Linked DNA regions of Drosophila melanogaster. The protein of the gene in region 2 interacts with the protein of the main gene of each other region in a pairwise test. Each region holds a gene or a part of one and is shown on either strand. Other genes may lie near its edges. The genes, in order: CG10949, CG9948 and CG14110.

The links.
Region 1: the proteins of CG9948 (region 2) and CG10949 interact in a two-hybrid assay, tested with the Drosophila melanogaster proteins (one large-scale study listed by BioGRID).
Region 3: the proteins of CG9948 (region 2) and CG14110 interact in a two-hybrid assay, tested with the Drosophila melanogaster proteins (one large-scale study listed by BioGRID).

What each region holds. Positions count from the first base shown.
Region 1 is NT_033779.5:20,414,604-20,418,811, reverse strand, and holds CG10949 (uncharacterized protein), read left to right. Parts: upstream 1-1,893; 5' UTR 1,894-2,107; coding exon 2,108-2,648; intron 2,649-2,705; coding exon 2,706-3,544; 3' UTR 3,545-3,639; downstream 3,640-4,208. Other genes in the region: Arpc2 (Actin-related protein 2/3 complex, subunit 2), read right to left, coding at 1,145-1,218.
Region 2 is NT_037436.4:6,954,323-6,958,011, reverse strand, and holds CG9948 (uncharacterized protein), read right to left. Parts: upstream 2,022-3,689; 5' UTR 1,778-2,021; coding exon 1,615-1,777; intron 1,559-1,614; coding exon 1,065-1,558; 3' UTR 1,010-1,064; coding exon of another isoform or gene 728-1,009; 3' UTR 661-727; downstream 1-660. Other genes in the region: Uqcc1 (Ubiquinol-cytochrome c reductase complex assembly factor 1), read left to right, coding at 1-47, 161-349, 409-660, 728-1,009; CG10077 (uncharacterized protein), read left to right, coding at 2,624-2,631, 2,843-3,689.
Region 3 is NT_037436.4:13,382,878-13,386,489, forward strand, and holds CG14110 (uncharacterized protein), read left to right. Parts: upstream 1-1,911; 5' UTR 1,912-1,933; coding exon 1,934-1,997; intron 1,998-2,049; coding exon 2,050-3,032; 3' UTR 3,033-3,048; downstream 3,049-3,612. Other genes in the region: ImpL1 (Ecdysone-inducible gene L1), read left to right, coding at 1-1,028.

The DNA.
Region 1 (4,208 bases), on a different chromosome or scaffold from region 2:
TTATGGCAAATGTACACGAACACAAGTCATCTGTTATAATATGATTGATTATTCAGGATGCCGTTCGTCTTTCTAGTTAATGTTGGAGCTTTTGAGACACAGATCAAATATTGTTTTTGAAGAATGCCACTTTGGCTCCAAAGCCTAAAATTTGCAATAATGTACACGAAAGTATTTATCTTAAGAAACAAAAAGAATTACTCAAGATGATTTAAGCGTTACAATTTATATCGGAGCGTTGTAGACACGGAAAATGGAGAATCTTTAGCATGTAAACTTTGTCTCCCAAGAATACAGATAATAGGGGAGTAATATTGAAACTATTAGTTTTTATGTACACGAACACAAGTCATCTGCTATAATATGATTGATTATTCAGGATGCCGTTCGTCCTTTTGGTTTATTTTGGAACATTTGAGACACAACAGGAGATTTTTTCCAAGTATGCCACTTTTGTTCCACAATTTATAACTTTTATTGCCTTAATTTCAGGCATTACACTGCAATCTTATCGGGAATAAACTAATGGCATCATAACTATTAGCATTTAAATACATTTATTTATGTGAGATCTTAATCATTCGCTACCAAACACAAATACCTCTTTCTGCTGATAGTGCTGTTAGTACAATAAGTTATTTTACTAATTTTAATAATTTTGTTAGTCTGTAAGCTTCGTCTAAGCTTCTTCTAAACCGTTTAGCTTAAACATATTTCTTTCGTAACACGACTCCTTTGATAATGTTTCTTCAATAATAATATCCTTTTTCGGGATTAGGAACAAATAAATACTAATATTTTCGATCATCACAAGCGTATGCGTTTGAATGCACGTCAATGGATGAGTCAGTTTTGCAGATTTTCAGCACCGATGATGCGAATAGCGAGTTGTAATGAATTAACTAATACGCTGTCGACGTAAGGGGGCTGCACTGTACTTGGGTACGTGTGTGGGAGGGAGAGAGCTGCAGCGATGAGTGTTCCAAGGCTGGAACTACACCCAAATTTATTCCCGAGGAAAGAGAGAGCTAACGAAATTGATAACAAAGCCGACTGGTGATAACAGAACGGTGGGGAATGCAGCATAGAAATCAAAATGGTGGAATGGAAATTGGGGAAACGGGACTGGAAGGCATTGACTTACCCAGCCTGGGCATTACGGTATTTGACCAGCAGCGTCTCCTCGATAATCCGATTATTGATTTCCAGCAGGATCATGGCGGTTGAAGTTAACTGTTATTTTTAGTGTGCCAATTTCGATGACAAATTATATGACGTTGACTGCCGCTAATGGTGCTGCTGCTCGCTGCTTCTTCTTCTGCCGCTCCCTGCGCTCTTTCTGCGCTCCGTTGAGTGCGAGTAAGACGGTGCGCTGCTCCAACTCACCAATACTGGTGCATGACGGGCGTATTAATGAATCAACAACAAAAAATGGGCGCTGATGTCGGCTTTTTTGGTCCGTCACACACACATGGACGCACTCTCGCCACACACACGGGCGAATTCCAATGCTCACACACACAGTTGCAAGAAAATCCACCTTATCCTCTTTTCGCGCCTCCAATTTCCAATCGCCAGTACTTGCAGCGCGCACGATGCAGTGCAAAATCGGTCTCAGACCGTAATACTTATAAAATTATAACAAAACGTGGATGGAAAACGGGGAGCACGCTGCCGTATTTTCCTTGCTCACAGCGTTGCCAGGTAGCACAATAGAGATGGGGCAAACTCACCGATGGAAAGATTGAAGTATCGAGCTATCGACCATCAATGTTATCAGGTTACACAGAAATTCAAACCAGCAGATTTTAACAAACATAAAGAGAATTTTCTTTAAAATATATAAAATAGAATATATTTTAAACGAAATTCGTACACACGAACTTTAAATTATAAATATGTATTAAGACATTTTAAGACAAACACACAAATATTTTATTTAACATTGTTATAATAACGGTGCTATAAAACTAAGAGGCACATTTTTTTAACAGAATAATCTGGCAGCCCTTTTTGTGCGATGACCCATCGCCTATCGACTATCAATATTTCCCGCCAGGCTGCCGGATCGTTCAGAATAAATAAAAACAAATAATAGCGAAAATCAATGGACGACGATGAGCTGATTAAATTGATAGAGAGACACCCGATCCTGTACGACAAGGACTGCGCGAGGAGCGTGAAGAATGCGGCGCAAAAGGACGCGGCCTGGAAGGCCATCTCCCAGAAGTTAGGAGCCTCGGAACGGGCGTGCATTACGCGCTGGAAGAGCATTCGCGATCGTTTCGGCAAGGAGTTTCGCCGTTTCCAGGAGCGTCCGGATGAGCCCACCTACTGGGACATGTTTCCGCGACTGCTCTTTCTCAAGGATCACTACAAACAGGGACTGGCAAGGAACGAGAGTCTCGACGGGATGCGTTTTGAGCCCAGGGAGCGGAAAAAGCGCACAAAAGTGGACATGGAGCAGGAGAGGCGGAGAAAGGACGAGGAGGAGGAGGACTCCCAGGATGACCTGCTGAACGAGCAGCTCATTGAGCTGGTCAAGTCTCATCCCGTGCTGTATGATCGTCACAAGATCAGAGTCTCCAAGAACCTAGCAGCGAAAAACGAAGCCTGGCGAGAGATTTCTGAAAACCTAAATGTGTCGGGTGAGCTCGGGGTAACCCTCTTGATCTTCAGCCCTTAATGCCGATAATTTTCAATAGAGGAACTTTGCTACAACCGCTGGAAGAAGCTGCGTGATCGTTTCGGGCGGGAGTTCCGCAGTCATCAGATCAACCAGTCCACGCCCATCACGTGGAGGTACTTTAACGACCTTCTCTTTCTGGGCCGCCACTTCCGCAAAGGAGTGCCCCTGGTTTTGGAGAACATCAAGCGACGTGGACGACCACCCAAAGCAGGAAATCCTTCGGGAAAGACCAGCAAACAGCCGGAGGGAATGGTGATCTCCAGTGGTGAGCAAATCTGGGGCGCTGATTACCCCTACAGTACGGACAACGACGATCTGGAGGATGATCTTGAGTTGGCCTACGATGAAGAGATTGAGATACTATCGGAGGCGGAGCAAGCAACGCCGTACGATTTTATCCTCAGCGAAGCGACGGCACGGCAGGACTTGGAGCCACCACAGCAGCTCCAGGTGACCACCACCACGCCGGCCACCAGTGAGGAAATAATTCACACAATCGCCAGGGTAAATCCCGTCGTAGAGGAGTCCTCCTCTCTCCCTGGGGACTCTGTACCGTCTGCCGCCATCTCCGACAAACTGTTGACCACCGTGATTGCCAACATGGAGACCGTGCTTCAGCAATCCCGGGAGCTGCAGGCCCAGATTCACCACGAACAGGAGCAGGAGCGAGAACAGCGAAGTACACAGCCTGCCAACAGCCTGCTTGCCAAGGCTCAGATGCTGCTGGACGGACTGAGTCCGTCTGAGCGGGCAAGTGCCGAGCGTAAGATCGTGCAGTTCCTGTGCCAGTGCCAAATCAAAGCCCTCGATGGCGAGGAGATCGAGGATGTGGCACCTTGTCAGGTCATTAACTGAAATTAGAATGTTGTAGATTAGCTGCAAAAGTATTACGAAGAAGGGTTATTACATAAGTGTAAGCATGAAAATATCTGTAAATAAATAAACTTACTAAATATTGTGGCTCAAAAGGCAATATTGAAAAAGAAAGGTTTGAATATTTGTAGATTTCAAATTGAGTTGTTTAAATTACCAGTGCTGAAAAGCATTGAAATGCGTAACCACAACCATCGCCATCAAACGCTACCCGCCACCAGAGGGCGCTGAATTATTCAAATATTTCGGTTACGCGAAAATTAGAAACAAACATTTCATACCGACCAAAAACAAAAAACAGAAATAAATAAAAGCGCCCACGCCGACACCATTTATTGCAATTAATAACGAACAAATTCGCGCGTACGCAGCAGATGGATAAACAAATCGCTTGGCGTGCACTTGGCTCTTGGGAAGCGCGAGTGCCAACAGATTCTCGATTCGCTTAGTTGCCGCCTCCGGTTCGCACGGTGCAGTTGGTCGGGACCCAGAGATACCGATCCAAATCCCATTCTCATGCGAGCAGGAATCCCTAGTTGTGCGTCAAAGAGCGCCGCCTGAACTCTGAAATTATTATTAAGATAATAAACGCGAGCGCCTGCTAAGTGCCTGCGAATGGTTCTTCTCGGGCATAAACTTGTTTCTT
Region 2 (3,689 bases):
CTCGTGCAGTTGCAAGACTGGCCGGCGGCCTAGCGAGAACCGCATGGGTATGTTTAAAGCAGGGGTTGTACTTTATTTAGTCAAAACACGGTCATCCGAATGCACCGCCATCAACTCTTATATAAACGGATATAAAATTTTTAAATTAAACATATTATAGGCAACACAACATACGTATAAGCACAGGCCAGCGATACTGGGACTGCTGGAGCAGCCATGCCGCTTGTGTTCATCCACCGGCGTTGTGGATAATACCAATAAAACGAAACCCGGCACAGCGGAAGCCGCAGAAGGCGGTATTCTGAAGAGAGTGCTCAACAAAGTGGGCTTCACACCGAACACAAAGGCGGTAGGACTCGGATTACTTTGCCCATTTGATTAATATTCATCGAAGTGATCCCATTTCAGCGCCTCAAGGTAACCAGTCATCTGCTGTACGAAAGCGTCGCCGACAAGATCAACTATGTGACCTTTTTCCGCGACTTCAATCTGCCCAATACCTTTAACTCCTGGTTCTTGGTCACCGAACTGCATGTTTGGCTACTCCTGATGCGCTCCATGGCCGAGGGCTCCGAAACGGGCGAGGATGGACGCTTCCTGCGCAACTGCATTGTGGAGGCGATGTGGGGAGATGTTAACACACGCGCCAAGAAATTGGGAGTAGGTTTTACTTTAGTTCACCTTTATATATATAATCTTTATGCTCTTCATATGTGTTTCCCAACAGGCTCACAATCCTTCACGCACCCGTCAGCAAATCGAGACCTTATCCGAGCAGTTCCAAGCGGCCCTAATCGCCTACGACGAGGGCATCATGTCCGACGATCGGGTTTTGGCCTGCGCCTTGTGGCGCCGCTTCTTCGAGATGAACTGTGATGATTACGCGCAGATCGAGCGACTGGTGAAGTACGTCCGCCAGCAGGCCAGCATGCTGGACAGTTTGCCGCGCGATCAGTTCATTGTCAAGCCGAAAGTGGCATGGTTGGAATTGGACAAGTGCAAGGTTTAATCTTAGTTATATTCTGTTTTTTAAAAATAAAGTTTGAGAGTATGTGAACTGGAAACTAGATGCTAAGGTCCTCCACGGACTGATTACTCAAGGCACGCAGCTGGCACTTGAGCAGAAATGCTGTAATCCTTCGTTCTGCCCTTCTCCGCTGCGGTTCCTTTAGTTGGGCCAGTATTTGGTCCATCTGGAGAAAGCTGCTTCTGGGCGAGATTATTTCAGCGGGCTCTTGTTCCTCGTAGATGATTTCCTCTTGGATGATCTGTTCACTGGGCTCCTCGATGACCTCCTCGATTATGAACGTACTCGACTGCTGTGGAACATCCCCATCCTCAAAAGTGTCCCACAAAAATTGCACAGGAGTTTCCGTCTGGATGGTCGCCTCCTGTTTGTTTGTTTTGGGTTTGGTTTTCACTTTGGAGGGCGGCTGGATCTCGGCCAAAAATCGCAGGCGTTCCAGGTACGGCCAGGTGGATCCACTGGTGTCCGCGCGGCGAAACTCCTTGCGAAACTGATAGTGCAGATTGTTCCAGCGCATCAGGCAGAAGTCCACTAAGAGGATTATAACTTTAAATATATATATCTTATTCTTTTATTAGCTGACTTACCATCACAGCCCATCATCTCGGCTATGCGAGCCCAGATATCGGTTTTCGCCTTCATGGCATCGTAGTTCGAGAGTCCAGATCTCTTATAGAGCACAGGATTGGGTTCCACCAGATCAATTAGCTTGAAGTCGAAAGGTCTGTTTTTCTTGTAACTGGTGCGCATGGCTACCAAATTGAATTAAACTAGCTTGAACTTGATAATTAAGAATCCCTTGCTTGAGCCATGTTTATTTACCTTATGAAGTACAGCAGAGCTACGATTAAGCGAAAACCATTTGGCACGTATTGTATGTCATAATTGCGGGCTTAAGATACTTAACAAATGAAGGGAAATTACATAATAATAAATTATATTTTAACTGCATTATTAGAACCTTGTTTATTAGTTATTACTTTACAGATAGAAATTTACAGGTTAACTACATTGAGCGATCACTGTAATATTCCAATTTATGTCCACACTTTGGTTTTTGGGTCGTTCTATAGGCTGGTCACATTTTTCTTGCTGACCATTATTATCGAAGTTGCTTTACCCGATAGGTTCCAGACAAACAATATCAGACGTCTTTGTTTTGCTTAAAAAATTAATAGTTCTTATTGTTAATTACCGGTGCCGCATTAAAAAAATACTGGTTAGACAACGAAGTAACTACAAACTAGCAACCATAGTGCTCTAAAGTGCTCTTAATAGTGTTCCATATTCTTTTCAGTTATTATTTTTATTTAATTTGTTATTATTAGAAACGTTCACAATAATTATTTATATATTAAAAGTTTCCTACTAACAAATATTTTGACATTTTTCCCTATTCGTTGTGATCGTTTCTAGAAAATTCAATCGATGTTTCCAGAAAACCTAACCTATCGAACCAATCGATATTAACACCGATTTTTTCCACAGCTCTATTGACGACGTAGAAGCTGAAAAAATTGTGGAGTGAAAAATTGTAAAAGTGACCGAAAAAACTATACTTTGGCCAGCTATATTTCCACTTACATCACACCAGCAATGAACATGTGAGTATTGAAACACAGGCACACATTTTTTAAGCCCAAATTTCGGTTTAGCATGCGGCCAGGGGCCGAGTGTCGAAAATCAATAAATTCAAAATGGCAGTAAAAAATGAAAATTACATAAAAAAAGGTCGCTTCGTGTAAATTTCAACATTTTGGCAACGCATTAAAGGGCTCAAAATTCTAATTTTATGGCACAAAACGCTCGTCGCAGGTACAACGGACAGATGAACGCCTTCGGAGGCGGTGGCGGCGGAGGAGCTGGTGGCCTAGCCGGCGGTATGGTGCCCAATCGCATGGGCGGTGGTGCTCCCGGTGGCGGACCCGGCGGAGCGGGCATGTTCCAGCGCAATCGCTCGGCCCCATACCCAGGTTTCAATGGTCATGGACCCGCCAACGGTGGACAGCGACGCATGAACGGTGGTGGTCCTAGCATGGGACCCGGCGGACCACGCAACCAGGATGGATTCGGTGGTCAGAACGGGGGCCAGCGCTCTTCCAATCATGGCGCTCACTTGCCCAAGATCGTTTGGTCTGAGGTGAATCTTACGCCATTCCGCAAGAACTTTTACAAGCCGTGCGATTCGGTGCTGGCCAGGACTGTCGGTGAAACAGAGACCTTCCTCACCAGCAATGAGATCACCATCAAGGGCGATCAGGTGCCCACACCCAGTATTGAATTCGAGGAGGGCGGCTTTCCCGATTACGTGATGAACGAGATCCGTAAGCAGGGTTTCGCCAAGCCAACGGCCATTCAAGCCCAGGGTTGGCCCATTGCTATGAGTGGACGGGATCTGGTGGGCGTGGCCCAGACCGGATCGGGCAAGACCTTGGCGTATGTTCTGCCGGCGGTGGTGCACATCAATAACCAGCCGCGCCTGGAGCGCGGTGATGGACCCATCGCCCTGGTCCTGGCTCCCACTAGAGAGTTGGCCCAGCAGATCCAGCAGGTAGCCATTGAGTTTGGCAGCAACACGCATGTGCGCAACACTTGCATCTTTGGTGGAGCGCCCAAGGGACAGCAGGCTAGGGATTTGGAGCGCGGCGTGGAGATTGTAATT
Region 3 (3,612 bases), 6.4 Mb from region 2:
TAATTAACTGGTATGCGCCCATTTCCTTTTTAGCAGTAGCAGCTCTGCTGCTTTTGGAGGCGATTCCCGCGGATGCAAAGCGGCGCAAGCACAAGGGCTCCGATCATCACTATGAAAAGTCTGATCCCCACAAGACCAAGACAAAGACCAAGTGGTCTAGCTCCACGGATTTGGCTGGAAACACTCCAATTTCCACCGAAGAGCACGGCTACTATGTAAAGCGCACCTTTGCGGCTCCCGGTGAGATTGGAGCCGCACAGAAGCGTCTAAGTCCCCCCTATTTGGCCATTCCCATCGCCTGGTTCAGCTGTGAGTCGGGCCAGAAGAATTGCCAGTCTTCCAATTCCGCGGCTATCAACAGTGCCGCGCAGTCCTTGAGCGAGGGCTATCTGTGCGACGATGATTGCGATGAACTGTACGAGCCCATCTGCGGCAGGACCACCTCAGAGGTGGCCGTTTTCTACAACAAGTGCAAGTTGGGTGTAGCCAAGTGCCGATCCCACGGTCTTTGGACGGACTTCGCCTATGCCGAGTGCCAGGCGAAATATCCGCAGGAAACTGCCTATGCCGACAAGAAGTTCCGGTCATCGCCTTATTTCCGGGATGCGGCCATCGTGGAGCAATTGAAGCTGGAGGAGGAGAAGCGTAAGCAGGAGGAGGAACAACACAAGCTGGAGAAGGAGCAAAAGAAGAAGGAGAAGGCTGAGAAAAATAAGAACGAGAAGGACAGCAGCGAAAGCAGCGAGGAGAAGGATGACCAAAAGGAAAACAAGCAGAAGGATCCCCTTTCCCTAATGCCACAGAAGAAAGTGGAATCCACCCAGAAGCCAGTGCCAGTTCCTATTCAAGTAGCAGTTCCAAAACCAGTTTCAGTTTTGGAGCCTGCAAAGACGACCGAGGACATCGCTATGCCGCCTATGCCACTGAAGGACACTCCCACGCCCAAACCTCTGGAGATCGCGCCCCTTCACCAGCAGACCCAACCCAAGGGCAAGGACATTGATAGGCTCAAGTACCAAGTAGCTTAGAAAGCAATGGCTACACAAATCTCACCTAATTATAGTATTTATTTAATTTATTACAACAAATAAAATTCTAAACAACGATAATCATCTATATTTGATAAACAAAATGGGTTTTTTTTAAATACACGCTTTGTAGTTTAAACGTGTATTGGACTACAATTTTTATGGCTAACTTTAATGGTAACCCGACTTTTATATTGTCATAAAAATAAAAATCATAAGATCTGCTTAGCACTTTTATGTAGATATTTTATATGGGATCGAAACGCACTTTTATTTTCCCAAAGTCAGTAAGAGTGTCTTCTTAGTTCTTATGACTCCAGACCAGTTACACTATTTTTCAGATCCCTTGAGCATTTAATTACTGAAATAGGTGCATTGTACATTTACATAGCTATATCTTTGGAAAGACATTAATCGGGATCCAACATTTCTGTGACAAACTAGTATAACTCGAAGCAGATTTAGTAGCAAGGGGAAAGGTGTGTGCAAAATTTGTAATGGGAATGAATACACCTATGATTCTTAACGAACTCATTCTTGATAATTCTTTATGGCCTCTAAAGAACTTTGTGTGTTAAAGTAACGGGTATAACAACTTCAACTTTACATATATATCTTTCAATCAGATAATTTTCAAAACTTTCTTAGAGGCAAATTCACCTCTTTGTAATTAAATTGAGAAGAATTCTAAGGCGATGCAGTTGCATTGAATCAAGTGCATTGACCCCCAAAACAAGTTCTATAAACTGATTGATATCTGAAGCTTGAAAGGGCCATCATCCATTGCCAGGCACTAAACCTAAAAACTAATTGGGCGTGGGATGGACAATGCAACAGGTTGCGGCTGGGTTGCCTATAAAAGCAGCGGGATTTGTGTCACTTGTCACAGAAGTTGACCAACTGCAATGGGAGCCACTAGTGTCGGAGTTCCAGTCTGGAAGATTCAGCTACTGATTCTGCTGAGTGCAGGTGAGAATATTCTAAAAGTTGTAGCTTGTGGTATTTAGTTTTCCTCTCCTAGTTGTTCTCACCATTCAAGCTGCTCCTGTCGAGGTAACCGAAGGAGTGACCCAACCCCCAGCCGAGAAGCTGCAAACGGAGTCTCGTTCCCGTAAAGATGAAGAGCTGGAACTAGAAGAAGACCTGGATGGACGTAATGCCTATATCAACAATCAGTTTGTGCCAAGCGAACCTGCAGAAGTCCTAGAGGATGTGCAGAATACGCCGCTCTACGAGATCCTTCAAAAGCAGATGGAACAAGTGTTGGCCTCATCGGCTCCCAATGACCCTGTCTACGAGCAGCACCGCGAGAAGCAGGATCGTCGCGATCAGAAACCACCACACCAGCCACCGTACTTCTCCGGCGGAGATCGAGATGGTGATCTACAGGATGACTACGAGGACGAGGAGGATCAGACGGATCAGGGTTATCCGTCGGACCCCGAGAAACCGGACGCCGTGTCAGATGCTCCCGAGGATGAGGACCCAGGCTACCAGGCACCTTCGTTGAGCCTTCCAACCACCACCACTCGCAAACCGTACAGACGACGCAGCACAACCACTTTTCAGCCACGAACCACCAGGACAAGAACCACTGCTCAGCCCAGGATCTCGGAAAGTCCATTGAACCAAACCAGCACCACAGAGCAATCACCAAATGTGACCACCAGCACTCCACGGCCCAAGATTGGTTCCAGCACCAAACCCAAGGCAAATCCTCAGCCGGGAAACAGCCTGCCAAGTGACCCGCAGGTTTACCAGCACAAGCGTCGCATCATCTTCAAGACCATCTCAACGGGCTCGCAATTCGTCAACTCGCCAATTGGCGACCTAATGATCAAGTTCTCAATCGGATTTGCCAAGCCAACCACTCCGGGTGGAGCTACCAGCACTGCGGGTTCACATAGTTCGTCCAGTGAGGCTTTACGTGCTCTTTCGCAAAACTTAATTCGAAATTTTGAACTTCAAAAACTAAGAAGAGCCAATAAAGTGCAAAAATATTAGATATACATTATTAACGAAAACAAAACCACGGGTTTTCAATTGGATTCATGTTTTAATGTACTAACAACAATGGATTCGAAGACTTTATGAGTAGTAGCTATATTTCGAACAAAAGATATTTTTAAAACCCTCAGTTGAAGAACTTAATTCTATTCTATTACCTCAAATTCAAAAATTTCGAATTGTGTTATAGAAATTTCATGAATATTTTAATCACCACAACAGCAATTGCTTGTGCAATAAGCAAAACATTCGATTTGGAGCGAGGTCTGCTAAAATTATTCCAGCGGGAACCAATCATTGATCTCCAAATTGTTGAAAACAACTTGAGATGACGCCATAAGAATATACATAACCAAATCAGAAAATGTATTCCGTCACGTACGAGAATTTCGAGACAATGACAATAGATCCACATGTACGGTTCGTGTTTAGTAGAGTTAATACACAAAATGGAGGTGAACAGTCACAGTAACAACAACGTCATAATCCGTAAAGGAACATGGTTAGCTACCTTAGAGTAAATATAATCTAACTGCCTTGGCTATTCGGTGCCCAATCGTTGTTTTCATCGAGTCTC